Linked DNA regions of Rattus norvegicus. The main gene of each other region encodes a partner of the protein of the gene in region 2 in a complex. Links are inferred from orthologs where the notes say so. Each region holds a gene or a part of one and is shown on either strand. Other genes may lie near its edges. The genes, in order: Cwc27, Snrnp200, Lsm2, Prpf6, Rbmx2, Snrnp40 and Usp39.

Region 1 (2,689 bases), on a different chromosome or scaffold from region 2:
ACATTTTCTGGTTGGCAGTACTTCCTGAAGCAATGGAACTGTTAGAAGTCAGCGTTCTCACACTACATGGCATAATCCAATGCTGTGATCAGTCATTAAAGCTGGAACAAGCCATGTATCATTAATAACACATACCAATGTGAATGTGGTTTACCTCATTTAAATATCGTGTAGGTCACCTGTGTGTCACTGGCACACATCAACACAGCCTTCTGAAGTAGGAGAGAAGGAGGGGCGATGGCCATGTGCTACTGCGTCTCCAGAGTGACAGTGTGTGTAATACTTTCTCTCCCTCCCAAATCCCCTCGAGAATCTTCGAAATCTGAACGGCCTTTTCCATACAAATAAATGTCACTCTTCCACAGGGAGAAGGACAGCTGAGACTCCTGAGAGTGCCAACTGCCCAAATCCCTGCTGACACAAAGCAAAGCAAGCAGCAGCATGCGAGCCGAGCCGAGGGGAGGAGCTTTGCTCAGTGCCAGCGCTGACCTAGCAAGGGGTGTATGCACGGTTCTATTCCTGTCTGCTGTCATGACGGAAATGCAGATTTAAGATGCACTAATATGCTGATTGGATTGTTTATTAATTAGCTAGTAGAAAATTCATATCACTTGTTTACTTATGCAAAAACTGAGTCTTCCTCTTCCCTAACTCAGCAAGTTGCTCTGATGCCTTGTCTTTTGACCCCTGCCCCGCCCCCCTTAATCTCTGATGCCTCACCATGGGGGCACAGCTAATCACTGGCATAGTTCCTGCTGCCAAGGCTAGCTCGCTTATGAGCACTTAGGAATCAAGCACATGCTGGTACTCTAAGACCAGTAAGCGTTTGTTAAAGTAGCAAGGCAGGGTTGTGAGATTTGCTGTAGTCAACAGTAAGAGGAGAAAGTTAGTTCATGGAGGTACGCCAGAAATGTCGTTCCTCTCTGCATAGAAAAACTCAGCCCCTTCCGGAAGACAGCCACAACCCCACTTGAACATGACTTTCAGTTACTTTTAAACTTGTGTTTGTGGATGTAGATTTCCGTTCTGTTTGTCCCTACTTGTTTGGTTTTCATTAATTTGCTAATGGTGCTGGAGATTGAACCCAGGGCCTTATGTCTGCAAGGCAAATGCTCTCCTTTGAGGCACACCAGCCCTAGCATTTAAAGGTTGGGTTTTGTTGCTGCTGCTTTGTTTTGTTTTGTTTTGTTTTGTTTTGTTTCTAATGTGACCCTTGCTTTTGACCCTTTGAACCACTCAAAACACAAACATCCGACAGGTCTGGCTGTTGGCTGGCAGCTGGCTCCTCAGCTGGCTCCCTGTGCTTGAGTGTGCTCTTCAAAGAAAGAAGGCCAAGTTCCAAATATGGGTTTAGGAGACTCCAGGGTAGAGACCATAGCCTCCTACCAGGGGAGGAACTCAAGATGGACTTAGGAGCAGACTCCTGGAAGGCTGAGGAGTAGAGCAGCCACTCCAGGCAAGCTTTCCAGACTTTGCTTTGTTTCTGTTAGGCAGTCCTTGCTAGGCCAGCACTGGGCCACTGAGCAAAGCTCCTCCCCGCAGCTCTGTTTTCTGTGGGACTGCTTTCCAGGTGGATGAGCACTGCCTGCCTTCCTATGCCAGAGGGAGTGGGGTACAAAGTGTCAATGTTGGGTCCCAGCCTGAATTCACCAGACCATCCATCTTTTCTCTTTAGGATGTCCCACGTGCTCCAGTTTGAAGACAAGACCCGGAAGGTGAAAGACGCAAGCATGCAGGACTCAGACACGTTTGAGATCTATGATCCCCGGAATCCAGTGAACAAAAGAAGGAGGGAGGAAAGCAAAAAACTGCTGAGAGAGAAAAAGGAAAGGCGGTGAGCGGAGCCGTGATGCCGGAAGCGGTGGCGCCTGCCAGGAATGTCGTGTGGGAAATGTGTCAGGGCCTGTGTTCTGGTGTTCAGAAAACAGGTATCTCCTTTTGTAAATTTGAAATGATGTAAGCAAATGCTTTTGGTTACTGATAATTGACCTTTTATATTACTAAATCTGAAATAAAACCAGTTTCTTTCTAGTTTAAATGTTAAGTTTGCAGATTGCATAGACCTGTCTGTCTATGCCCCCTACCCTGAGATGTGTGAAGGAGCCTTGTTCAGATTTTTATAAGAGAAACTCACAGAAAGAATAAGGGAAACTTCCCTGATACTTTAATATAAAATCAAAATTATAAAATAAAAACATTAACATTGATGCTTTTTTTTGCATATAAACATATAAAAATAGCCAGGCCAGTAGGACTGACTCCTGCTTTAATTCATGAGGAGCCCACAGGCCAGTTAATATTCACTCTGCGAGCCCAGTGCCTGGATGCTAAGAGTGCTTCAAGACAGTAGCACTCTACTGCATGCTCTCCAAACACCACAGCCTGATGCTGGGCCCCCTGCTGCTCCCGCCCTCGTCAGCTCGCCAACATCAGGAGCAAGTGGGTGCACAGAGTCCAGCACCAGTAGAACTCATCAAGAATCTAGCCTTTGATACACTCATTCACACTAGGTATTTCTGTTCCCTATATTTAGTTCTGAACTCTGCATGCTAAAATTGTACACCAGACAGACTTGCTTCAGTCACCTAATAAAACCTCACCAGGCACATCTCTTCAGAAGAAGTAATGAAATCGGCTTCCTCTTCCTAAGGCCGGCTCTTCAGCGCGATCCCAGGTGCAGCACTGGCAG
Region 2 (4,040 bases):
CCTAGCAAGCGCAAGGCCCTGGGTTCGGTCCCCAGCTCCGAAAAAAAGAAAAGAAAAAAAAAAAAAAAAAAAAAAAAAAAAAAACTCCTCTATGCCCTTCCTCTTTCCTCCTCGGTGGCCTCACCTGATCCCCGAGAGCAGCCTGGATGAAACTGAGCAGCACCTCATAGGTCTCCCGGGTCTCCTTCGTCTTGGGCTTATAGATGATGCCCACCATCTCATCAATGCCCTCTGACAGCAGAGTATAGCCTTTCATCTTGTTGATGTCGTGTCGGTCCTCATCACGTTTTCTCCTCCTAAAGGACAGAAAACATGAGGCTGAATGGGAGGACTTTCCATTCCCGAGCAAAGCTTACCCTTTCTATACATCTACTCTGTGAAGGCAGGAAAATGAGTGAAAAAAAATAGCTCCTACCAGACCTTAATTATTTGAAGAAGCACTTCTTTATGTCCCACATTTATGGGATACTTCATATGGGACATTCTTATAGAAAGAAAATATAACATCATCTGATAAGCTGTTACAATGAAACACGGTCTCCATTACCTTTAAATGTACACCTTTTTATAACCATATGAGGAGACTATGTAATATTATTTATAACCACATGAGGTGACTATGTAATATTATTTATAACCACATGAGGAGACTATGTAATATTATTTACTTTTATAACCACATGAGGAAACTATGGAATATTATTTCCTTTTTTTTTAGCCTTAGCTACACCCATCACATTTTAGTAGTAAGAGAAACTAGGCTCCAGTGGAATCTACTTCTAATGACACCCAATAAATAACTAGAAAAGATGTCAGGCTCTGGAAACTGAAAGACCAATATTTGAGCTCTTCTAAAACAACCACTCAAACCAAACAGGGCCAAGAAGAGATGGCTCAATGGTTAAGAGCACTAACTTCTTTTCCAGAGGTCCTTAGTTCAATTCCGAGCAATATATGGTGGCTTATAACCCTCTGTAATGGGATCCAATGCTCTCTTCTGGTGTGTCTGGAGACAGCTACAGTCTTTTTTTTTTTTTTTTTTTTTCGGAGCTGGGGACCGAACCCAGGGCCTTGCGCTTCCTAGGTAAGCGCTCTACCACTGAGCTAAATCCCCAGCCCAGCTACAATCTTAAGATAGCTACAGTATACTCATATACATAAAATAAATCTTTAAAAAAAGAGATAGAGAAAAAGAGAGAAAACACATTTTTTTGGAAGGTGGAGGCACATGACTTTAATCTCAGTGCTCGGGAAACAGATGCTGATGGATCTGAGTTTAAGGCCAGCCTGGTCTATAGATGGAGATACCCTGTCTTGAAGGAAGGAAGGAAGGAAAGAAGGAAGGAAGGAAGGCAGGCAGACAAGCAGGCAGGCAGGCAAAACAAAGTAGTATTTAACTTTTGAAATGAATCCACCAACATGAAAAGCTGACAGAAATCATCAGGAAGTGATAGGCAACAAAAGAAGAAAGGTTGGGGAGAAAAGTTTCTAACAATGTGGTGGAGCTGAATTACTGAGAGATTAACTAGAGGCCTGAAATAGTAGGAGCTGAATTACTCAGAGGAGATTAACTAGAGCCCTGAAATAGTCAGATAGCCAACTGGAGAGAAGGCTCAAGTAGTCTGACGCCAATACTGCTTTCTAAGAGGACCCAAGTTCAGTTTTCAGACTCATATTGGGTAGCTCAGAACCTCCCGTAATTCAAGTTCCAAGGGATCTCAAACCATCTTCTGGCCTTCACATAGGCATTTGCATGCATGTGCACAACACCCCCACCCCATACACACACACACACACACACACACACACACACACACACACACACACACTGAAGAAAATTAACATCTATGAATAGGAAATATGTCAGTAAAAGGTATCAATAGATTTTGTTCCACTTCATTACACCTAAGTTCAAAGAAGTTTTAAACCTTGAAGAGGTTTCTGCTATGTTGCACACACATCACTGATCTTCCATACAAACTTCAGCAAAACTACTGCTCTAATGCTAAAGATGGGCTTTACATTAGCTGAAAAAAAAAAAAAAAAAGCATCCCCTTGGTACTTACTTGGCCCGTCTTTCCTCCTGCATCTGTGGTTTGGTCCTTTGAGCCTTATCTCCCATTCGAGTTCCCTCCAATTTCCCAACCAGGGACAGAACCTCTCCTGTCGGTTCATCCCGGCGGGTCCGGTCAATGAGAGAGCGGTCAGCTTGGAGCACAAGATTTGAGTTCTGAAAAGATCATACTTTATCAAAACTTTGACATATGGTTTTTGAATCCTGTTATTACAGTGACACCAGAAAATGGAAAAACATTGGAATAAAAGAATAATGCTCTTAAGAATAGTATGTCATTGCACTATGCATGAGCACTGTACTATCTGATAAGGTGAACGACCAGCGTTCCTAACAACATCCACAATAGCCCACATTTGGGAAAAATGTTGGGCAGATCAGGGGTAACGAGGAGACAGTTTAGCGGGGGGAGGGGGGGACGGGACTCCTAAATTCTCACGTCCCTCAATCTCCACTAAGGATATTCCGTCGTGTTTTAATACATCCTTCACCCAGCTCTCATTTCCCCATCAGTGTTCGTGACTATCCACGACTTCCCTTGCCCGCAATCCTACTCCGAGACCACACGTACCGCTTTGTACTCGTACTGCAAACTGCGGGCAGTCACATCCGCCATGGCTGCCGGTGCTCCGGGAACTCAGGGTTCCACTCTTCCTCACGGTGCGAACCGCCTGTGCAAACCGCTCTGGCCCAACAGGTACCACGCAGGACAAACGTACGGGACGGAGAAACGAAACGGACTTCCTTCCGGTTCCGGGACGCACGATAAAAGTGAGACTTTCCGGCTATTACGCAAGACTTCTGGGCGGAGTTTGTGGACGATAGTACATCCGGGTCACGAATTCCATTGACCGACTAGGCACACGCGCGTGCGAACTATGGTTCCACACATCTATAGGTACTACAGAGCCAAGGCTGAACCCCCGAAAAGTATGATGTTAAAAGTCCCTTTCTGTAATACTTTTGGTTTCTCATACCAGCCGTTCTGTGAGGCAGGCAGCAGGCTTGCAAGGAATGGAAACTAAAGAGCTCCATTTCTGGACAAGGAAGCTGAAGGTTCAAGCAAGTTGGCATGTCTAGTAACTAACTGGATTTCTCTTCTGTATTGAGAAATTGGGGTAACGCTCGCTGTCCTATTGAACTCATCTTAGACTCGTTTCCGTAAGACTCTCCCCTGTGTCAGCTAACTGACAGTAGAGGAAAAAATATTTGTGCTCAATCATCTGACACAGCCTGTGTCAGGATTTTAGGTGTGCACAATCGTGCAGATTACAGCATATAATTTTGTCCTCAATGTGGCACGAACGTTTTACTAAAGAAATATATGAAAAATAAGTTATGTGTATAGAAATACTATTCAGATTTATTAAGCAATAGTGGTACCTTTTATGTAAAGGTAGTATTTAGTCTTTTAATAATTCTCTACACAACACTGAAAGCAAAACAGCGAGTTCTACTTTTCTTTTATGTTTAATAAGCACGAGTGAACCTTAAGCCTGTGTCTTAATCCATCGAGCCATTTTGCTGACTTTTTTATTATTTGGTTTATCATTTACATTTTATTCTTTGTATCTGGGTGTTTTGGCTTACATGTATCTTTGTGTCTCATGTACACGCAGACCTCCAAGATGCCCAGAAGAGGGTGATAGATTCCCTTAGACTGGAGCTACAGATAGGTTATGAGTTGCCATGTGCGTGGTGGGATTGGAACCCAGGTCTTCTCAAAGAGCAGCCAGTGTTCATACCCATTAAGCCATCTCTTTAGCTCTTGTCTGGTTTTTGAGAGAAGATCTTCTGTAGTCCAGGAGGCTTCAAACTTGCTATCCAGAGACTTCTCTTGCCCTCTCGATCCTCCTGCCTCCAACTCATAGACACTATGGCTGCAGCCCTGGGTTGCTGTGACCAGCTTGTATCTTATCATATTTAATAGCAGCATGGTAACCCTAGGTTGGACCCATTTACTTTT
Region 3 (4,300 bases), on a different chromosome or scaffold from region 2:
GGGAGCAAAGAGGAGAGAAGCATTCATTTATGCTGGAATCAGCAGAGGGAAAATCAGAACTACAGTGACAAGGGGGGAGGAACTCTAGGCCCTGAAGCCAGCAGGCAGCCCCTGTAAGTTCTGAGGTGGAAATGATAAAGCACCTCAGACTCAGTCTGTCCTCACACCAACACATCAGAAGCTCGTAGTCAGGCCGGGCCTATGCTCCATTTAATATTAGTATTTCCACTTTAAGACAGGTTCTCACTTGGCCCAGGCTGGCCTCCAACTTCTGGCATTCCTACCTCCACTTCTGAAGTTCTAGAACTACAGCTAGGAGCACTACTCATGGCCATTGCCCACTGGGTTTCCCTGTGGGGTTCTAGAACTAGCTCTGTAGATAAGGCAGGCTTCAAACTCCCCCCTGCCCCTGCCCTTGCCCCTGCCTCCTGAGGGCTAGGTTTAAAGGTTTAAGGGATGAACAGCCATCAACCACTCAGCTAATCACCTTTCAAAGTAGTATCATCCAGGACTTATGAGAGGTCATGTAAGGTACCAAAACTTACACAAATGAACTGGAATGTCAGCCCTGATCTGCACGACTCCCAGAAACATCCATTATTTTTAAATACTGATTTTTACTATTTGTGTGTATGTGCATGTAGTTACCCACAGAGACCAGAAGAGGGCATCAGATCCATTGAAGCCAGAGTTCTAAGGAGTTGTATTCAGCCCAACAAACTGTTGTCAATCACCTAATGTAGCTGCCGGGAACTGAACTCTATTTCTCTGGAAGAGCAGCAAGCTCTTTTTAAAGCACCAAGCCATCTCTGCAGCTCCAATAGCTGTTACTTGTAAACATTTATGCTTTGGAGCCAGAGACCTACATATACATGGCAGCTGAAATTAACTATTATTAATGCTACACTCCCCCACCCTCTAGTCCTGAGTACAGTTATCAAAGCCACTGCTCCCACACCATGTTACCCATCTTATATTTACCCACTGCACGGAGGTGCAGAGGAATTAAAATTTTAATTAACAACCCCAGATCCTGCATTTTACTTCTTCACTCTCTACATTCTACGAACCCCCACTGCTCTGTGGAAGAACACTTGTGTGGTCTGACTTTTAGACTAGAAAAAGTCTTAGCTACTCTCCACCCCGGCCTGGGCCAGCCTCTCACTTGCCCACACTGGCCATAACCATCCTGCTTGTCAACACCACGTTCTGTCTTAGAATCAAGGCTCTCAAGCACTGACCTGTGCTCAAAGGTTTCAAGAGTCTACAAATAAAAGGATTTTAAAAAGAAACACGAGGGCTGGAAATGAAGTTCACCTGTTGAGCATGCCCATCCAGTACATGAAAAAAAAAATAGACATCAGTGACACCTATAATTTTCTAAGCACTATTAAGAAAGTAGACTCTAGAATTAGGGATTTAGCTCAGTGGTAGAGCGCTTGCCTAGCAAGCGCAAGGCCCTGGGTTCAGTACCCAGCCCCGAACAAAAGAAAAGAAAAAAGAAAGAAAGAAAGAAAGAAAGAAAGAAAGAAAGAAAGAAAGAAAGTAAGTAGACTCTAGGGGCTGGAGAGATGGCTCAATGGTTAAGAGCACTGACTGCTCTTCCAGAGGTCCAGAGTTCAATCCCAGCAACCACATGGTGGCTCACAACCAACTATAATGAGATCTGATGCCCTCTTTTGGTGTTTCTGAAGTCAGCTACAATGTACTTATGTATAATAAACAAACAAACAAACAAAAAAAGAAAGTAGACTCTAATGGATGATGTGACAAGAAGCCATAAACATCTTTCCAGTGATACAGCATTTAATCCACTCCTGAATGGTTAAGAGCAAATGATACAGCAGGGCAAATCCTAGCACTCAGGAGACAGAGGCAGGCGGATCTGTGTGTTCCGGGACATCCAGGACTGCACATACATGTTACTTAACTGTATCTCACTGTGTAACTCTGGCTGGCCCTGGACATATGTAGACCAAACTGTCCTTGAATTCACAATTCTGCATCAGCGTTGGGATTACACGCATGTGCCACAGCACCAGGCTCACTCTTAAACTAATCTTTACACTCAAGACACAAGATATTTCTTCTGTGTTTTGCCCCTCTGCTCTAAAATAGCTTTGTGAACAACAACCACGAAAACGATCAGGACACCAGGCACCTCCCACCTTCCACCAACTCGCTGAAATAAAGACCTACCTCAGATCATTCTTGAGTTCCACGACTACATCCTTGCCCACAAGGGACTTGAAAAAGGAGTAGAAGAGCTATTGGAAAAGAGGGAGGAACTATCACATGAAAAGGGACAGGGAGGAGGAACCCGTGACGGCATTTGAAATACCAGTCCTTTTGGCCCCACCTAGTAGTTCTCAAAATTTCACCACCATCAACAATCCGTTAACAGAGACTGCAATTCCTGGGGCCACAGAGAGACAATAACTGCGCTGCACCCCTCGATGCCAGAACCCACTCTCCGAATCGACCACCTCCCTGCTCGAGACCGCTTCCCAACCGCACCCTCACAAAATCCTGATCTCCAGCACGGAAATGCAAGACTAGCTTTCCGTTCTCCCCCGGCGCCCGTGGGCTTTCTCTTGGACTTGCTGGAAGTTTCCCCAAAAAAACCATTGGTTCCAAGCAGTCTCCTCACACAGGGTGTGGGCCCTGAGGTTGTAAGGAAAACCCTAGGGCTTAGCTACAGCCCAAGGCAACAAACACTAGAGCGCAACCAAGACCCGAACAGTTCGAACCGCCCGCCGCGGGCGGCGGCGCTCCCTTTTGACGTCACGGTACCCACCATGGTGCTGGCGCCACGAGGGGCGGCCTGGACCGCGAAGGAAGGCGCCGGGGACTGCGGGCCGGAGGCAGGGCGGGAGCCGGAGCACGAGCCCGCGCGTGAGGCAGGACAGGATCACGCAGGCGCAAGGGGAACCGCGAAAACCGCGGCTGAATCTGGGCTCAAAGGGAGCGGAGTAGGGCAGAGCAGAGAGGACCGCCAAACCGGGAGGAGGGCGGGACTTCCTGTCTCCCACTTCCTCCCAAGGAACTCCTCCCTCCCGAGCGCGTGCGTGGGCCATAGCAGCTGCGCGTTGGATGTAGTTCGCCTCCCTGATAATTTTTTAGATTCTTCTCTGTGCCGGGTGACTTGCTCATACTCTACGCTTTCTACTGAGAATTATTGGGAAGATTGAGAAAATTATGACTTGCATATTCTTTTAAAAAAGATTGAGTTATTATATATAAGTACATTGTAGCTGTCTTCTGACACACCAGGAGAGGGCATCAGATCCCATTACAGATGGTTGTGAGCCACCGTGTGGTTTCTGGGATTTGAACACAGGACCTCTGGAAGAGCAGTCAGTGCTCTTAACCGCTGAGCCATCTCTCCAGCCGTATTATTTTTACTAGTAATTAAATGGGAAGTTGCTAGGTTATAGCTTCTGTAGATATCATGTCTGGATAAATAGGAAAACACTTGCTATTTTGTCTTCTCGAGGCTGGCTGTTGGTGCAAGGCAGTCATGGTACACAGGTGAGAATTCTGAGAGACTAGGCCTGCTGATTGCATGATACCAAAAAAGTCGGTTTCCTGGGGGTCTGGGTGAAGCTTGGAGCATGCCTGCCTGTGTAGGCCAGAGATGAATGCTGGCTGTTCTTTCCACTTACTTAATATTTTAAAATTTTATATGTGTGAGTTTTTCCTTGCACGTATATCTGTGTACCACATGTGCAGTGTTCCCAGACACTAAAAGAGTGTGTTGGATCCTCTGGAGTTATAGTTGTTAGCCACCATACGGGTGCTGGGAATCAAACCCTGGTCCTGCCGAAGAGCAACATATGTCCTTAACGACTTAGCCATCTCATTTTCTGAGACAGGATCTGCCACTGATCCTGGAATGGACAGGTTCATTCAGCTAGACTGACTTGCCAGCAAGACCCTAAGATGTGTCTTCCCTCTCTGTCCTACCTACCCCACTCCACCTGTGCACATCACTGTGTTCAGAGCTGGATCCATCATGATTACCAAGCAAGATGTTACCGAGTTTCAACAGAAACTTTAACACCTGAATCTAAAAGAGGCTGTCACTGGTTAGAAGCAGTCAGTACATTTAGCAGCTGCTTCCTATGGGCTCAGGGTGCCTGAGAATTAGAAAATATTTTTCCTGGCAGGTGTAACGTTCTGTAATTCCAGTCATGTAGGCAGCATGAACGAAAGACATTTGAGGCAGACCTGCCTCAAAACCAAAAAAAAAATTGTTGGATATGCTCAACTTACACAAATTCAAGTACTTTGCCCTTAT
Region 4 (2,870 bases), about 54 Mb from region 2:
TGCTAGGAGATCACTGGACAGATGGCATTGCAGATGAACCATGGTTAATCATTTCTATACTCCAAGACAACGGATTGCAGCAGGACATTCCCACGGTCACTAAACTCAAAGGGTCTGAGTTCTGCTAACACAATGAGTGCAAGCCTCTGGGCTCTCTGGGCAGTGACGGTGACATCGTTAGTCCCAGCCCTCAGGAGGTAGAAGCAGGCAGATCTCTGAGTTTGAGGCCAGCCTGGTCTACAAAATGAGTTCTAGAACAGTCAGAATACCTAGAGAAACTGTCTCAAACAAACAAACAAACAAACAAACAAAACCAAACAAACAAAACAAACTCTAGGATAAAGCCCTTTAGTCAAATGGGCTTGGTTTAATACTTAAATTCTGTGTGGACCAATATCAACAAATCTGTCTTGCATGTAATTCAGGCTCCATGTGGTAATGAAACAAAGGAAACAGCCCATCAGAAGCCTGGGGCTGAGGATGAGCCAAAGAACCCAGGAGGCCTGTGAAGAGGGAGTGACCAGACAGATGTCTAGACAGCACCTCAGTCTAGACAGCACCTCAAGCCTCTAGCAGACAGCGCTGCCCAGAGGACTGAAGCAGGAGTTCTGGCAGCTGAGGCCCATGTAGCTCATCCTGTATAAACAAAGTCAGCATAGCCAGGCAAAGATGCTGGCAAAACTATGCCAGAATCCCAAGTAATCCCAAAAGAACTATTACTCACTTAGCCACAGCTAAAAGCACATGGGGGTCATGTTCACACTTCTTCAGGGCATCCACACTCTTGGTCTTTCTCTGGGGCCTTGCCTCAAGGAAGACAGCTTCAGACCACAGGATACCTGGAATTCACAAGCAAGAATCTACCCTCAGCCCCACTCTGGCTTCAGAAATGCACCCTCTTCTTTAGGCTACCCCAAAAGGGTACACTGAGGGCAACCACAAGGGTCTCGATATCCACCTACCCAGTCACCTGAATTACACCAGCCTTGCCAGAATGGAATTGGACAGTGTTGGATGAGAGCTGCAAGCTTTCATTCTCACTGTGTCAGCAAACAGGCAGTGGGCAATGAAAGCACTGTCACACCCGCTGCTAAACATAAAGATGGCAGCCAGGGGCTGGGCGCACAGCTTTGATCCCAGCACATTTCCTCTACGCCTCTATGCAGAGGCAGAAAGATCTTGGTGAGCTGGAGGCCAGTCTGGTCTATAAAGTAAGCTCTAGAACAATACTCAGGACTGTTACACAGAGAAAACTTATCTAAAAAAAGAAAAAAGAAAAGGAAAAGGCAAAACAACTACCACTACTAGCACAACAACAACAACAACCTCAGTCATGCAGAGGTTGTCAGCTGTAATTTTAGCACTCGGGAAGTGGAATCAGAGAGTGGAGGATCCCAGCCTTTACATACTGTGTCTGAGGCCATTATGGGCTAAACCAAACAAACACAAAGTACTATTCTAAATGCCTAGTGTAACCTTACCTCTGTACAGTAACACAGAAATAATACAAACACAAAGAGCAGAGATTCCTGAGTAGTAGGTTAGAGCAATCTCTATTATCCTCTTTTAAAACTCAAATTTCTTCAAGTGACACATGCATGTCTTCTTTTTGTTTCAAGACAGGGTTTTTCTGTGTAATGGCTCTGGCTGTTCTGGAACACATTTTGTAGACTAGGCCAGTCTTGTACTCAGAAATCTGTCTCTGCCTCTTGAGTGCTAGGATTAAAGGTATGTGACACCACTGCCTGACTACATTTCTTATATACCACATGTAAGAAAAATAATAAAAGTTAAAACTTGTCTTAAGGGGCTGGAGAGAGCCGCTGGAGCCAGCGGTTAAGAGCACTGGCTGCTCTTCCAGGGGTCCTGAGTTCAATTCCCAGCAACCACACGGTGGCTCACAACCATCTGTGATGGGATTTGATGCCCTCTTCTGGCCTGCAGGTGTACATGCAGATAGAGTACACACACACACACACACACACACACACACACAGACACACACCAATAACAGCTTAGAAAAATGACAGTGCCTCAGAACATGAAATCAAACTACACACACACACACACACACACACACACACACACACACACACACACACACACACCAATAACAGCTTAGAAAAATGACAGTGCCTCAGAACATGAAATCAAACTCCCCCATACTGAAACTGAGGGTTTATTCTGAAGTCTTTGTAACCACATCAGCGAGGCTAGACTGAAATGGGACATACAGGTTGTATCTCAAAGGAGTTCCTGGAAATCAACTGATCCTATCCCACAGAAGATTTCCTCGGTGCCATACTACGTGGCCAGGAGTCCTTACCAGAGTTAGGGCACTCCTGCAGCGCCTTGGCCATGAGGGTATTGGCAATATTCTTCAGCCCTGCCCGGTACTCCAGCCGCACTGACTCCAACCTAGGAAAAGAGGTCCAGAGATGGGACATCCCCATTATCATAGCGTAGCCAACTACTCTAGCTGGCCTTCTGCCAGAGACCCTTTTAAAAGGCTTTTACATTTTTACTTTATTATCACTGTCATGTTATATGTGGAAGTCAGAGGACCACTTCTGGAAACGTCTTCAAACTCAGATTGTCAAATTTGCTCAGCAAGCACTCTTTCCCCACTCCAGTAAAGGAGGCTCTTGTCTCTTAGAAGGGGGTAGAATCCCACTCTCTACAGATGGCAGCACTGGTGTCCACAGCCTGTCAGCAGGCAGCAGCCCCACCTGAGATCCCAGAGTCCATAGGAAACAGACACAAGTGAAGATAAGGGAACAGGCACAGACCATACAGGCAGGCACCTAAGAACAACCCCTCAGCAGTGTCCTCTCACATCCCAGCCTAACCTCTGGCTGGACTCTGCATCC
Region 5 (4,282 bases), on a different chromosome or scaffold from region 2:
AGAGAAGGGGCAATACTGCATCTTCCTGAATGCCTGTCTGTTCCAATGTAAGCCCATGCAGAACGAAGCTCAGTAAAAATGACAGAAACGGACTAAAGTCCCTCAGACAGACTCTCAAATGATCCAAGCTTTGGGATCTCCCATGTGGTAATTCTCTGGAACCTTATCTAACCTGGGACTGAGCTAGACTCTAGCCTTCCCCATGCATGGATGTCATTCAGCCTAGAATTAAATGGTTTTCATGGCTTTTTGAGGCAGGGTCTCACTCCAAGTGATCTTCCTACCTCAGCCTCTTATAGAGGTGTACAACTCCACACCCAGCTTGAAATGCTTTGTTGCTGTTACAAAAATACTCTATGGAAGCAAACTGTTCTATGCACCCAGGAGATAGGTAACAACAGAGGACTTACTGTGAGAACACACAGATGATGTCTCCTTCTGTCAGTTCATAAGGAAGCCCTCCTAGAAGAAAACAAACACTTGGGTTCAACAAACATTAAGCAAGTGTTTACTGCATGCTAGGCACTGGAGGTACAGATTAAACAAGCCACAATCTCAAATATATCAGTCTAATCCAATGATAGAATGAGTGGGTATAGTGACAGTAGTCCGGAAGGAAAGTAATTAACTCTCAGATCTCTGTGAGTTCCAGGCAAGCCTGGTCTACACAGTGGTTTCATAGTAAAACTCTGCCTCAAAGAAAGAGAGAAAGAAAGGAAGAAAGAGGGAGAGGGAGGTACAGAGGGAGGGAGGGGGGAAGAGAGAGAGAGAGAAAAGGAGGGAAGGAGGGAAGGAGGGAGGGAAGAAGGAAGGGAGGGAGAGAGAGAAAAAAAGGAGAAAAGGAAGGGAAAGGAGGGAAAGAAAAGAAGAGAAGAGAAAGAGAAAAAAATAGTAACTCTGAGTGGAAAGGCTGGGGTCATCACTCACCAAATTAATTTTATCTTTGAATCCTCACATCCAAAAATCCTATAAAGCAGGTGATTTCCTGCACAAGACTCAATCTCATAAACAGCAAGTTTAAGTATACTATTATTACCCTCACTTATGTGCAAGCTAAGATTTATAAGGGATAATATTAAGCATTTCATAGGAAACAATTTCCCCTCCCTCCATGTTTTCCCTCAAGTGTAAAAATGGGATGGTATCATATTTGCCTCACAGGAGTGTTAGAGAAATAAAGTAAAATGAGGAATATAAAGTGCTTAACACAATACCTATTACAACAGCCTCTTTCCAAAGGTAAACTGCAGGATTTTGGTTGGGACATAAAGTGAATACAGGATAATAATATTGTCACCAGAGAGTTAAGAGTTCCCCTTTTACAAAGGCTAGTAATGTCTTATCTTGATAATATAATTCTAAAGCAGACTAAGGAGGAAGCTTGAGGTCCATTTTATTAGCATTTGAGAGAGAGCTGATAGGGAAGCAAGTTGTAAGCTTCAGCAGCTACTGGGATGAAGGAGCTGCAGAAGAAGCAGCCATGCCTTCTGAATTAGCGGTCAAGCAAGCAGCAATGCACAGAGATGGAGGTAGAGGAGTGGTTCAAGGGGATAGGAGAGCCTTTAGATTTGGAATGAGACAGTCCAAAGTGTTCCGGGCAAGCATGTTCAGGATTCCAGCCAGCATCCAGAGAATGGACAGAAAGGGAGGGCAGGGGATAAGTGAGAACTCAGAATAACAGGTAGACTTAACACAGAGACCAGTAACAACTGCACTGGGGATCATTTCCCTCCCATGTCCTTAGCGTGTCTTTAGATGACTGAGCTTTCCTGACAGGTGACTCCTGGCCAGAAAATTTAAAGCCTGTTGGATTGTCTTAAGGAAGGGGAACACAAGCATGTAACATTTAGGATTCCTGAAAATGTCCCGGTATCTACCCAGGGCCAGGGGTGTAATCCAGACTGTATTCTTTTCATCAGTAGTTTTCCCTTAATGAACAACAAAGCTCACATCCCTCCACATTTTCAGATAGCCTTTCAAATGTTAAGCAGGAGAAACCCTCAATGTCGTCCAAGCCAGTTAATGTCTGTTCTGGTACCTAACAATACAACAAAGAACTGGGAGAAGCAGCCACTTACAAGAGGAAAATAATTCTGAGAAACGGCAGATAATAGACATGCAATAAGGACTAAGAACACAGCCCTATAGTTTTGAGTGATGCAGCACCTTAAGCAAGCCCAGTAACCCCTGTGCGCCTCAGTTTCCTTGACATCACTATGGGTTGCCTGGGGAGTTAACTGTCTCTAAGCAACCAAGTGGCAAGATTTTTCATATAATGAATGGCAAATACCAATTTCTAAGCAGTATCATAGGGGCCAAGTGAAAAAGGAACCTGTGAGCAGACTAGCTGCAAGAGTGTGAGGTGACGAGCAGCGTGTTCAGAGGTGACGACCAGGGGCGCTAAACAACCAGGAGGAAGGGGGAGGAGGGGAGGGGAGGTACAGACTCTGAAAGGCACTGCTAGAGAAAAATGTAGACCTCACCAAGAAAGATCCAGGCGCTGTCTTTGTATTCCGAGTGCCAAGACACCTTTTCTGCCACCCCAAGTTGAACCTCTCGCTCATTCAGTTCGTTGATCAGCTTCACCTTAGTTAAAGGGCTGTGCGGGAGAAGGGAAAGACGTTTAAGTACATTTCCTCACAGCCCGCCTTCTACGTACCGGTCGTCTCCCGCCCCGAGGCCCTGAAGGCGAGGACCTGTCCCCGCCCTTATGGGCGGCCCTCCTCAATCCATTCTCCCTTCCTCAGAGAAACTCCCTCCCCTGTCCTCAGAGAAACTAAATCCTTACTTCATATTCGCATCTTCGCGCTCCGCTCTTAAGACATCAGCTTCCGGGTGAGGCTCCGAAGCGCGCGCGCAACCCGAACACTCAGCTCAGATTGGAGCCAACGGAAATGGAGGCGGGACTTCCGGCGCGCTAAGCCTCGGCACATGCGCAGTAACGCAAACGCGCTTTCTCACGCTTTTGCTCCAGGGGCGAAATAGTTCCCTAGTTATTCCCTGCTTCCCTTTTTGGTGTAGCTCGAAGGTGGGAACCTGGGCGTTACAGTGGATCCGTGTGCTTCTGCAGTCTGAATTAAATGCCCACAGATTTAAATAACGGATGTGGCCTTTTTCCAGAGGCAGGCAAAAATTAGCATTGTCAAATTAGTACCTAACAATTGAAGAGTTAGAGAATGTAAAGGTTCCAAATGATAGAAAATTTATGCATGTTGTCTCTGTTAGGTCTCAAACCCAGGCTAAGTCTCACACCAGTGGCTGCCCCTACCCTAAACCTCTGCCTCCAAGGGGCTCAGTTTCTGCCATTTTCATTTTTCATTCAATCTCTGTTTCTTTACATACAGGGTTTCTTTGTGTAGCCCTAGCTGTCTTGGACATCGCTCTGTAGACCAAGCTGGCCTCCCAACAACCCCATGAAATACAGTTACCACCCCTACTTTACAGAGGAAAAAAAAACTGAGCTTCAACAAATTAGCTTGAATGTCTAGGGAGGTGGTTCAGTGGTTAAGACCATTTGGTGATTTTTCCAGAGAACCTGTATTCAGATCCCAGCACCCAAAACAAGTGGCTCACAACTCCAACTTCAGAAGATCCATCCTCCTCCTCTGGTTTCTGTGGGCATTTGCACTCCCATGGCATGCACAGATATACATACACATGAGTAAAACTAATAAATCTTTTAAAATTTGCTTAACTTGAAATGTCTTGAGCTTGTACCAATCAGGTCAGGCTAATTTAATCATCCCTTATTGAGCATCTAAATTTGTTCTGTACAGTTGGTCTATAGAAGGAATCTGGAGGACTGGTTTTCTGCATGCATAGAACTAATGGTATAAGGGGAAATCTATATGTACTTGAATACTTCATATCATAATTATCATATAATTAATAATTATTCATATCACAATTATCCAGAAATCAGTATGTAAACAGAAAATAGGAGTTCCTTTTTGTGAGTGTTAGGGTCCAAGAGTAGCAGAAGAATGATACCCCCCAGACTCAAATAGTATACAAAAGCAAAGAGTGTTTATTCAGCAGAATTTCCTGCATGCAAGAGTCTCCCCATTTGGAAATGAAAGCCTAGGTGTGTGCTCTGTAGGGTCAATTTAAAGTCTGTCAGGGTAGGGTGGGTGACATTTACTTTTCTTTCCCTTGATTGGTTGGCTGGTGTGGGTGCTTTTGTGATTGGTTAGGGCTCTGTGGACTTTCCAGGGTGGCAAGGCATCATCTGATTGACTGCCTGCTGCTGTGGCTGGCTGAACACGGGTTCCTAGATCCAGGT
Region 6 (4,006 bases), on a different chromosome or scaffold from region 2:
CACACCCGCTCAGACCCACTGTGTCTCAGTCATCTTCCCAACTGATAGGGCATTGCACATGCTGTTCTGTGCAGAACGTTCTCCCTTTCTCTCGTCCCATAATTAGAACTGTCCCATCAGATAGGAACAGCTCAGCCATCTTTTCTTTTGAAAAGCCTTCAAGCTTCTATTAGTAACTCATAGCATGAGGCATCGCTCGTTCAGGTAGTCTTCCGATCAACTGGTGAGATTTGCTTAACACGTTTCCCACACCCTGAGGTAGGGGACCATGTTTCTTCAGAATGACCTCCAACGCACTGCATCATAAATACCATTTGGACCACTTTCTTTTTTTTTTTTGGGGGGGGGGGTTCTTTTTTTCGGAACTGGGGACCGAATCCAGGGCCTTGCGCTTCCTAGGCAAGCGCTCTACCACTGAGCTAAATCCCCAACCCCATGGACCACTTTCGAGAAGGCCTGGTACGTAAGCACGACTATTTGACTTCTCAATAAAGTTGTGCTTTGGGGAGCCATCTGATACTTTCCTTATCGCTGGCTGTCTCGGGGACATAAATAAGTCCTTAGAAAAGACGGCTAAAGCAGTGACAAAACTAAGTCCGCCGCCTCAGCCAAGCCAGGCACTGAAGCCTGGAGGCCGGGAGTCGGGCCTGGGAAGGCCAGCACAGAGTGGGATCCAGAATCGGCATCCTGCAGAGCAGCTGTCAATGAATAGCGGCCTGAGAGTTCGAGTCCTGCATCCAGAGATCCCAAAGCTCTGCTCCAGCCTACCAAAGGACTTCTCTTTCCGGGGACTCTTTCCGAGGACATCCCCTGCCACACCCCGCTGCCAAAGCTGGTAGCTGAAAATGGTAGGCTCAGGCCTGACTCGTAACTTCCAAATTGTAACAACCACCCGCCTGATTCCCCACACACTCACTCCGCGTCCGCTCCTAACAGGACAGCCGCTTCATCCCTAGGAACACTGAATCTGCTCCGCTCGTTCTCACCCACAATGCACGGCGCGCCTGAGGGGGCGGAGGAGAACGTCAGTTCTGCGACCCAATCCAGAGTGGAGTTCTCGTGACGTCATCAAGAAGAGACCAATCGCAAGAGTGTATTCAGAGGGCGTTGCAGAAGGAAATGTTAGAAATCGATTGGTTGCTCTCTTCCGGAAGTTCTGGAGGAAGAACTCAGTTGAAACCAATTGCGCAACGCCTGCTGCAGGCGGCGCGGTTACTGGCGGCGCCGAGGGTAGTGGTTGCCGCCATGATCGAGCAGCAGAAACGCAAGGGCCCAGAGCTACCCCTGGTTCCCGTCAAGCGGCCGCGACATGAGTTGCTGTTGGGAGCCGCAGGATCCGGCCCCGGAGCCGGGCAACAGCAGGCGACTCCGGGGGCATTGCTGCAGACGGTAAGTGAGGAGGCATCCCCCCTTCGGCCCCCAACCCCTCTTCCTACGGATGGTATCAGCTCTGCAGGAACGGAAAAGCAGTGAGCCTGAAGTTAAAATAGGCCTCTGTAAAGGTGCCTTGTGTTCTGTGTGTGCTCCATACGTGTTTCCCTGTTAGACGCCTGTTTTTAGCCCTTCCGGGGCATTGAATCATTTAAAACTTTGGCCTCAAAGTCAAGACCCAAGCTTCCGCATCCTAAATCTTCAGGGATTTAGCATAAAAGAAACATTCAGGAAAGTTGGCAGAGTGAACGAATGAATGAATGAGAGGAGAAGCAATGCAAATGAATGATAGTGGCTCGCTTTGCTACCTGGTACAGCTTTTTCTTTCTCTGCATTTATAATAGTAATTAACATTAGTTGGTTCTTGGATGTTTTGCGTGTGAAATTTCCGTTAATCTTGATAACAGCCTGGAAGCAGCTGTTATTTTGCAAAATGGGGAAAGCAAGCTTTTTTGAATCAGAACCCATGCTTTTAACTACATGTCTTGTAAAATAGTAATCACACCCGCCACACGTTCAGATGAGGAAATAGGTGTACTCCTGCCCCAACTCTTTAACCAAATCCTTTTGCGGTGGTCTTTAAAATATACAAATAAAGTGAGCAAGGCGTGTGGGACTGTAGTTCCAGCTTTCCAGAAGACCGACAAGAAAATTTTAAGGGAAGGAATTGGAAGCCAACCTGTACAACATAGAAAGACACTCCCACCCCACCCCCCAAAAAAGCTGGATACACACATTTATAATCATCACTTGAGAAACTGGGGCTGGAAGATCCAGGACTTCAAGCATCTAAGCTATTATTATGGCAAAATCCTGTTGAAAGGAAAGAGAACTGTGTAACCTTGATCCTTGCCTTCTAAAAAAAAAAAGGAAATTCTCTGTAATAATTCCCCTCTTTACCTTGTTCATCTACTAGTTTTCTGGCATGTCACTTGGCTCCAGACACACACACACACACACACACACACACACACACATATATGTTCTTACTTTTTCTGTGGTGCATTGGCTGGGATGTTCTTGTAAATGCCCACATGGTCAACTATTGACTCTTTCAAATCTTTGCTCAGATACTAGCTTTTCAGTGGGGCTCTTCTGACAACTGTATTTTAGGTTGAAGTGTCCTGCACTCTGGAACCCATATTGTTTCTTCCCATGGCACACAACAGGGGGTGTTTTACTTGGGTTTGCTTGTCTGCCTTTCTCACACTTTGTACTAGAATGCAAGGTCTATTGTTTTACCAAGTGCTGTCTTCTCCAGCGCCTAGATATGTTAGGTGTGTGTGCGCTGGGGTTGGGGCTCAGAGGCCAGAAAAGAATGTTGGATTCTGGACTGGAGAGATGGCTCAGCGGTTAAGAGAACCCAACTGCTCTTCCAGAGGTCCTGAGTTCAATTCCCAGCAACCACATGGTGGCCCACAACCATCTGTAAAGAGAACCGATACCCTCTTCTGGTGTATCTGAAGACAGCTACAGTGTACTTATATATAATAAATGAATAAGTAAATCTTAAAAAAAAAAAAAAAAAAAAGAATGTTGGATTCTCAGAACCTGGTGTTACAGCTCTTGAAAGTTGCCCATTGAAGATGCTGAGAACTGAATGTGGGTCCTTTAGGAGAGCATCTCTGAGCCATCTCTCTAGCCAACAGGTAACATTTTTGTGACTAAATATACTGGATGAGTATGACCATGGGACATTATCTGCATTTATGGATATTTCGTAATAAAACCCATTACTTGGTGTAGTTAGTACATGATAATAAAAATAAGTAAGTATACTGGGATCTACTAAAGAGACTTCAGGATTATTGGTAATACACTGGTTCTTATTTGACAAGGTTGCCTAGGTTTAGTGTGCAAGACCACACAATCAAATCTACTTTGCTAAGCCTGACACAGTGATACACACTTGTCATACCAGCACTTAGGAGGACTGAAAATTTTTAAGACCAGCCTGGGCTACATATTAAGACCCCCGCTCGGGGTTGGGGATTTAGCTCAGCGGTAGAGCGCTTGCCTAGCGAGCACAAGGCCCTGGGTTCGGTCCCCAGCTCCAAAAAAAAAGAAAAAAGAAAAAAAAAAAGACCCCCCCCACCCCGCTCATGCCCCAAAATCTATTTTGCATAATAAACTGTACCCCACTGGGTTTTTCAAAGGCTAACTGGATGGACTAGAGACAGAAAAATGGAGAACGACCAGAGCTTCATTTCTTTGGGGAAAAAGAAAGGTATGAGCAATGATGTAAGAGAAGGAAGTTCAGGTAGTGATGGGGCTTTGACAGAGTGCCCTGGACCCAGTGGAATAAGGGGTAGGGGGGCTGCCTCACTCAAAATAGTGTGAGTGATGAAAGACAGACTCTGGGGAGGCAATACTTAACAGACACAAAATAAGGTGAGTGCTTCTATAGAAGACATCTTTCTCTGTTAAGACCCTGAGGCATAAAGGAGTTCAATGTGACCAAGCAGTCAAAAGTTGGCTGTGGAACAAAAACAGCCTTAGGAAGGAGAGAGCACATAGGGCATACGCTGGACTGTCCACGGGATTATCCAGAGGCAGGAGGAGTTCTGTGAGCAGA
Region 7 (4,300 bases), on a different chromosome or scaffold from region 2:
CCTTTGAGCAACTTCCAGTGATATTTGCAAGAGACATGTTCATCTTGTTCTTAACTTTCTAGTGTAATTATGCTAGAGAGAGAGAGAAAGAGAAGTTAAAATCCTGATTGACAGCTCCCCTAACACACACACACACACACACACACAGTGCACACACATACCCACCCAGGGTCTGTTGGAAGCTTGGAGGCTTTCTTGGTGTTGTTTTTCTGATAGTTTCTGTGGGCAGGGGTTTTAGCAGCATCCCCCTCTTCCCTCTCATTCTGGTTTGCCCTTACAGATGGCTCTACCCACCCAGTGAACCCAGACTGTGAGGAGTCCAGTGAGAGCAGCAGTAGTGGAAACTCTGAGCTGGAGCCTCCTGGTCGCCAGCTCTTCTGTTTAGAATATGAAGCGGACAGTGGAGAGGTCACATCAGTTATTGTATATCAGGTACGCCTTCCGGAAACAGCTGCATCTTGACGGTCCTGGGCCATGATGGAAACTACCACTAGTTCCTGAGCCGCTGTTAATCTCAGGGCCAGTGGAAAACGTGTCTTCCTGTCAGGTATTCTCAGCACAGAGATTCCTAATTGGGGGAACAGGGAAAACTTGTGACCCGCAGTTGAGAATCACTGTTACAGGGGATTCCTGAGAAATGACAAGCCTTAAGCCAAACAGTTCTGTGAGAATGCTGTCTAGGAATAGGGCAGCACTTTTCTGAGAGACCAGGCTCTGAGCTTCCTGACTCTTCCTCCACGTAGGACGATGATCCCGGAAGGGTGAGTGAGGAAGTATCAGCACACACACCTCTGGATCCAGCCATGCGAGAGGCCCTCAGATTGCGCATCCAGGAGGAACTTGCAAAGCGCCAGAGCCGACACTGATGGGGTTGAAGGGCAGGATTCACTGCACTTGGCAGAATTTTGCCCAAGGAGCTCACCTCTAGTTTGGGGGGTGCCAGGATGAATCCATGTGATCTTCAGGGATAATGTCCTCCTCTAAGCTGCTGTATCCACAAGGGTCTTGCAGGACCACATCCGACCTACCTCTCAGCAGCTATTCTCTCTTATCTCATCTAACCTAACATTCTGGAATTTTGGCTTTGGCTAACGGTGTTTTGGGGGCAGAGACTTCAGGGAGAGCCAGGCTTTCTGAAGCCTTTGCCCGTGTGCTGTTGTCTTGGTGAGGTTATTTGTCAGGCTCCTTCGTGTTTCTGCTTTCTTCCACTCATCTTTCCCCAGGCCTGTTTTCAGTCATCACTTTTCGTTTCTCCTAGCTTTCTGCCTTGGGTAGAGTCCATTTCTACCCCCCCCCCCCACCCGCAACATGACTGTTTTTCTGCCACTCAGGAATTTAGAAGTGGGGCTTCTGGAAGCCTGCCTTCCTTGACAAGTTCTCCAAGTAATTCTGATGCCAATAAAACAGGAGAGCTTTGGTTTTGAGGCCTATTTGGAAACACATCTCCTTCCCCTTCTGTGGCCTTCCCAAGCTACTCATGCCTCACTGCTTTGCACTGTCTGTGTAGACTGCATAGGAGACCCAGGAAGAAGGTGCTGTGCTAAGTTGCTGTCCTTTGTTGAAAACCTGTCCTGCTAAGCATGGGTGGCACATGCCTTTAATCCCGGTACTCAGGAGGTAGAGACAGGTGGATCTCTGTGAGTTCAAGGCCAGCCTGGTCTACATACCAGCACATCTAGTGGCAGGACAGACAGTGGTAGAAAGAACCTATCTCAAAACAACAACAACAACAAGAAAGGTTTAAAAAAGTAAAACCTGCCTTGGCTAGGCTTACCAAATTCACCTCCTAGCTGTGAACAGACTACCTTCTGCTCAGACTAAAGGGGAATTATCAAAGCAGATGCTCCAATTGTGGTTTAGCAATCTTGAGTTATTGAAGTTGGGAGAGTTGACAATAGCTATAATTGTCCTGAGGTGGGAGGGCCCCAGTTTCAAAAAGGAGTTGAGAAGAACATCATCAAGAAAGTGAAATGACCCTTTCTCTGCTCCATGCTTTCTTCTCTCATACCTCCCAAGAATATGTCTGAGCATGATGACGCACGCTTTAACCTTACCAGCATGGAAGAGGCCAGAGTATGAGACTGCCTAAGTTAAAGACCAACCTGAGCTGTCTCGAGAGAAAACTAAGTAAATGTACCTTAGGTCCTTTGGGTAAAGATCCCCAGACAGAGCATTTTTCCAGCAGGGGACATGTTTTCCAACACTAGCTTAGGCTAACTAAGGTCTGAAGTCCATAAGACATCCTGTGCACGGGAATTCAGGGCTACCTAAGACTTCTGACATACGAGCCTAACTTCAGCAACCTGAAACATGAGTCATAAAACAGCCCACAGCCGAACCTCCTACCCCGGGCGTTTGTCTTCTAGGGTCTCAAGATCATTCTAACTGTAGGAGTTCAGTAGCTTGTCTCTTCTGGGACACCTGGGGTCCCTGCTGTGTTTTATCCCCTTCTGCTGAAAACATGTAATGTAGCGGGCATCGGCTTTATGCATTAAAAGAGTGACTCACAGCTTGCTGTGCCAGAGCTCTGGGGCATTGGGTGAGGTGGTGAGTTAGAAGGGCCTAGTCCAGAAGTAGCTGGGGACCTGAATGCTCTAGACCAGGAGAGCTGGTCCCAGAGCTCAGTGCCTTAAGCTTGAGTCCTGATCTCAGTCTGCTGTCAGGGAAACGCCTTCACCCAGTACTTGTGCACTAGTGCTGAAAGTGCCTGTGGCCTTACTTGGTTAGATACCATCCAGAGCCTTCGGGGTGAAGGAGGGTCTGCCACACTCCATGCTCTTCATCCTCCAGTTAATCAGTCCATATTCTGACTTAAAACACAGGATTCACTGGAACTCTGGCTGGACAAAGAACATTGGAATCTCTTTGGGGTCTGTGTTCTTAGAGCTATGCTTCCTATATCCTGATTCTGTTATTGTACACCTGTTAAAAACACCTGAAGAAGAATCTGAGGACCAGCACCTACAAATTTGCCGTTATTCCCACTTCTTGATGAAGGACAAAATAGATACAGTGTTCTGTAGAGGCCGTTCATGTGTTCATATGGTCCTCACAAAGACCCTGCGCAGAAAGGAGACGGATGGAAACTTCTCTAAGCTCCTTTTCCAGAAGCACTTTGCTTATCAGTATGTATGAAAGATTTTCTAGCTAAGAAAGCACTCTTGATTCTTAGCTAATTTGTCCTGTATGACTACCTAAAGCCCCAGACTTGTGCCCAAATGAAATGGTCATTCTGAGCCAGCCTGTGAGAGCTGATATTTTCTAGGCACCCCTAAAATGTCTCTTAGGGGCCACCCTCAGCCTTATGGCATAGCTTTGTTGCTCTGCTGGCCTATTCTGGGGTCCGTAGTAATGTCCAGTTTACTTGGCAACCCTGCTTCCAGATGCTTCTCTTACCTATTTCAAAATTCACAGGCCATAGTGAGTTCTCAGAACTGCCCAATGTTACAGCACAGCATGCCATAGGCAGGACTTAACAGCAAACTGCCCCAGAATCAACATTCATTTGAGTAGATAAGTTCTTAACTGTCTTTTTTGGGGGAAGGGGGTATGGGGTCAGGAGGCTGAGCCAGGTATGATGGTACATGCTGGTAATCCCAGCATTTGAAAGGCTGAGATAAAAGGATTGCCCTATAGCCAGGCATAGTGGCACATACCATTAATCCCAGCACTTGGGAGGCAGAGATAAGGTCTCCTGAGGCCAGCCTTATCTACAAAGCAAGTTCAGGACAGCTACAAGTACATAGAGAAACCCTGTCTCAAACCCTACCCCGATTATTTAAGAAAAAAAAAAGACTGCTATGAGTTCGATGCCAGCGTGAGCTACATAAACCTTGTATCAAACAAAAAGTCTCATTCCCATTCTCTATGGAATGTTTTTTCCCCTTAGTTCTTAACTAGAGTTAAGCCTGTATTTTACAGTTTTGTGATTCCTGGACCAAGTGTGTATTATTCATGAGAGAGAGAATTGGTTTTTGCAAGGGGGTTTGTGCTGTGCAAGAATAAATGATAAAGCCGGGGTTGTAGCCCCCTGGCAAGCGTGACTCTGAAGAGTGCAAAGAAGGGAAAAATGTAAAAGTGTATACGATGAGAGTAAAGTGTATGCTGGCTGCAGTCTAGCCAGCAGGTGTGGATCTAGAGGAAATGTGAAAGAACATTCCATCTCTCTGGTCGTGGGTGTACTGCCAACTGGAGAGCAGCCCAGATAGGTGGAAGCTCTTTGGGGTGGTGAGTGTCCAACCTGCTGTGTTTAACAAGACCTGTGTCAGGGTGGTGCTTCCTAGATAACTCAAATTTAAGT

The links.
Region 1: Snrnp200 (region 2) and Cwc27 share a complex: the UniProt entries of both Homo sapiens proteins name them as parts of the minor spliceosome. The link is inferred for Rattus norvegicus from reciprocal best matches to the Homo sapiens genes SNRNP200 and CWC27.
Region 3: Snrnp200 (region 2) and Lsm2 share a complex: the UniProt entries of both Homo sapiens proteins name them as parts of the U4/U6-U5 tri-snRNP complex. The link is inferred for Rattus norvegicus from reciprocal best matches to the Homo sapiens genes SNRNP200 and LSM2.
Region 4: Snrnp200 (region 2) and Prpf6 share a complex: the UniProt entries of both Homo sapiens proteins name them as parts of the U4/U6-U5 tri-snRNP complex. The link is inferred for Rattus norvegicus from reciprocal best matches to the Homo sapiens genes SNRNP200 and PRPF6.
Region 5: Snrnp200 (region 2) and Rbmx2 share a complex: the UniProt entries of both Homo sapiens proteins name them as parts of the minor spliceosome. The link is inferred for Rattus norvegicus from reciprocal best matches to the Homo sapiens genes SNRNP200 and RBMX2.
Region 6: Snrnp200 (region 2) and Snrnp40 share a complex: the UniProt entries of both Homo sapiens proteins name them as parts of the U4/U6-U5 tri-snRNP complex. The link is inferred for Rattus norvegicus from reciprocal best matches to the Homo sapiens genes SNRNP200 and SNRNP40.
Region 7: Snrnp200 (region 2) and Usp39 share a complex: the UniProt entries of both Homo sapiens proteins name them as parts of the U4/U6-U5 tri-snRNP complex. The link is inferred for Rattus norvegicus from reciprocal best matches to the Homo sapiens genes SNRNP200 and USP39.

The regions. Positions count from the first base shown.
Region 1 is NC_086020.1:37,497,962-37,500,650, reverse strand, and holds the end of Cwc27 (spliceosome-associated protein CWC27 homolog), read left to right. Parts: intron 1-1,675; coding exon 1,676-1,838; 3' UTR 1,839-2,189; downstream 2,190-2,689. UniProt on the Homo sapiens protein: As part of the spliceosome, plays a role in pre-mRNA splicing. Probable inactive PPIase with no peptidyl-prolyl cis-trans isomerase activity. As a component of the minor spliceosome, involved in the splicing of U12-type introns in pre-mRNAs.
Region 2 is NC_086021.1:134,880,933-134,884,972, reverse strand, and holds the start of Snrnp200 (U5 small nuclear ribonucleoprotein 200 kDa helicase), read right to left. Parts: upstream 2,801-4,040; 5' UTR 2,691-2,800; coding exon 2,646-2,690; intron 2,231-2,645; coding exon 2,067-2,230; intron 297-2,066; coding exon 125-296; intron 1-124. UniProt on the Homo sapiens protein: Catalyzes the ATP-dependent unwinding of U4/U6 RNA duplices, an essential step in the assembly of a catalytically active spliceosome. Plays a role in pre-mRNA splicing as a core component of precatalytic, catalytic and postcatalytic spliceosomal complexes.
Region 3 is NC_086038.1:3,848,866-3,853,165, forward strand, and holds the start of Lsm2 (U6 snRNA-associated Sm-like protein LSm2), read right to left. Parts: upstream 2,801-4,300; coding exon 2,798-2,800; intron 2,629-2,797; coding exon of another isoform or gene 2,518-2,628; intron 2,268-2,517; coding exon 2,200-2,267; intron 1-2,199. UniProt on the Homo sapiens protein: Plays a role in pre-mRNA splicing as component of the U4/U6-U5 tri-snRNP complex that is involved in spliceosome assembly, and as component of the precatalytic spliceosome (spliceosome B complex).
Region 4 is NC_086021.1:189,143,465-189,146,334, reverse strand, and holds part of Prpf6 (pre-mRNA-processing factor 6), read right to left. Parts: intron 2,419-2,870; coding exon 2,327-2,418; intron 840-2,326; coding exon 725-839; intron 1-724. UniProt on the Homo sapiens protein: Involved in pre-mRNA splicing as component of the U4/U6-U5 tri-snRNP complex, one of the building blocks of the spliceosome.
Region 5 is NC_086039.1:132,764,913-132,769,194, reverse strand, and holds the start of Rbmx2 (RNA-binding motif protein, X-linked 2), read right to left. Parts: upstream 2,801-4,282; 5' UTR 2,794-2,800; coding exon 2,789-2,793; intron 2,600-2,788; coding exon 2,484-2,599; intron 463-2,483; coding exon 411-462; intron 1-410. UniProt on the Homo sapiens protein: Involved in pre-mRNA splicing as component of the activated spliceosome. As a component of the minor spliceosome, involved in the splicing of U12-type introns in pre-mRNAs.
Region 6 is NC_086023.1:147,983,584-147,987,589, forward strand, and holds the start of Snrnp40 (U5 small nuclear ribonucleoprotein 40 kDa protein), read left to right. Parts: upstream 1-1,206; 5' UTR 1,207-1,245; coding exon 1,246-1,389; intron 1,390-4,006. UniProt on the Homo sapiens protein: Required for pre-mRNA splicing as component of the activated spliceosome. Component of the U5 small nuclear ribonucleoprotein (snRNP) complex and the U4/U6-U5 tri-snRNP complex, building blocks of the spliceosome.
Region 7 is NC_086022.1:105,961,752-105,966,051, forward strand, and holds the start of Usp39 (U4/U6.U5 tri-snRNP-associated protein 2), read right to left. Parts: upstream 2,801-4,300; 5' UTR 2,720-2,800; exon of another isoform or gene 867-2,719; coding exon of another isoform or gene 744-866; intron 433-743; coding exon of another isoform or gene 281-432; exon of another isoform or gene 166-280; intron 1-165. Other genes in the region: C4h2orf68 (UPF0561 protein C2orf68 homolog), read left to right, coding at 281-432, 744-866.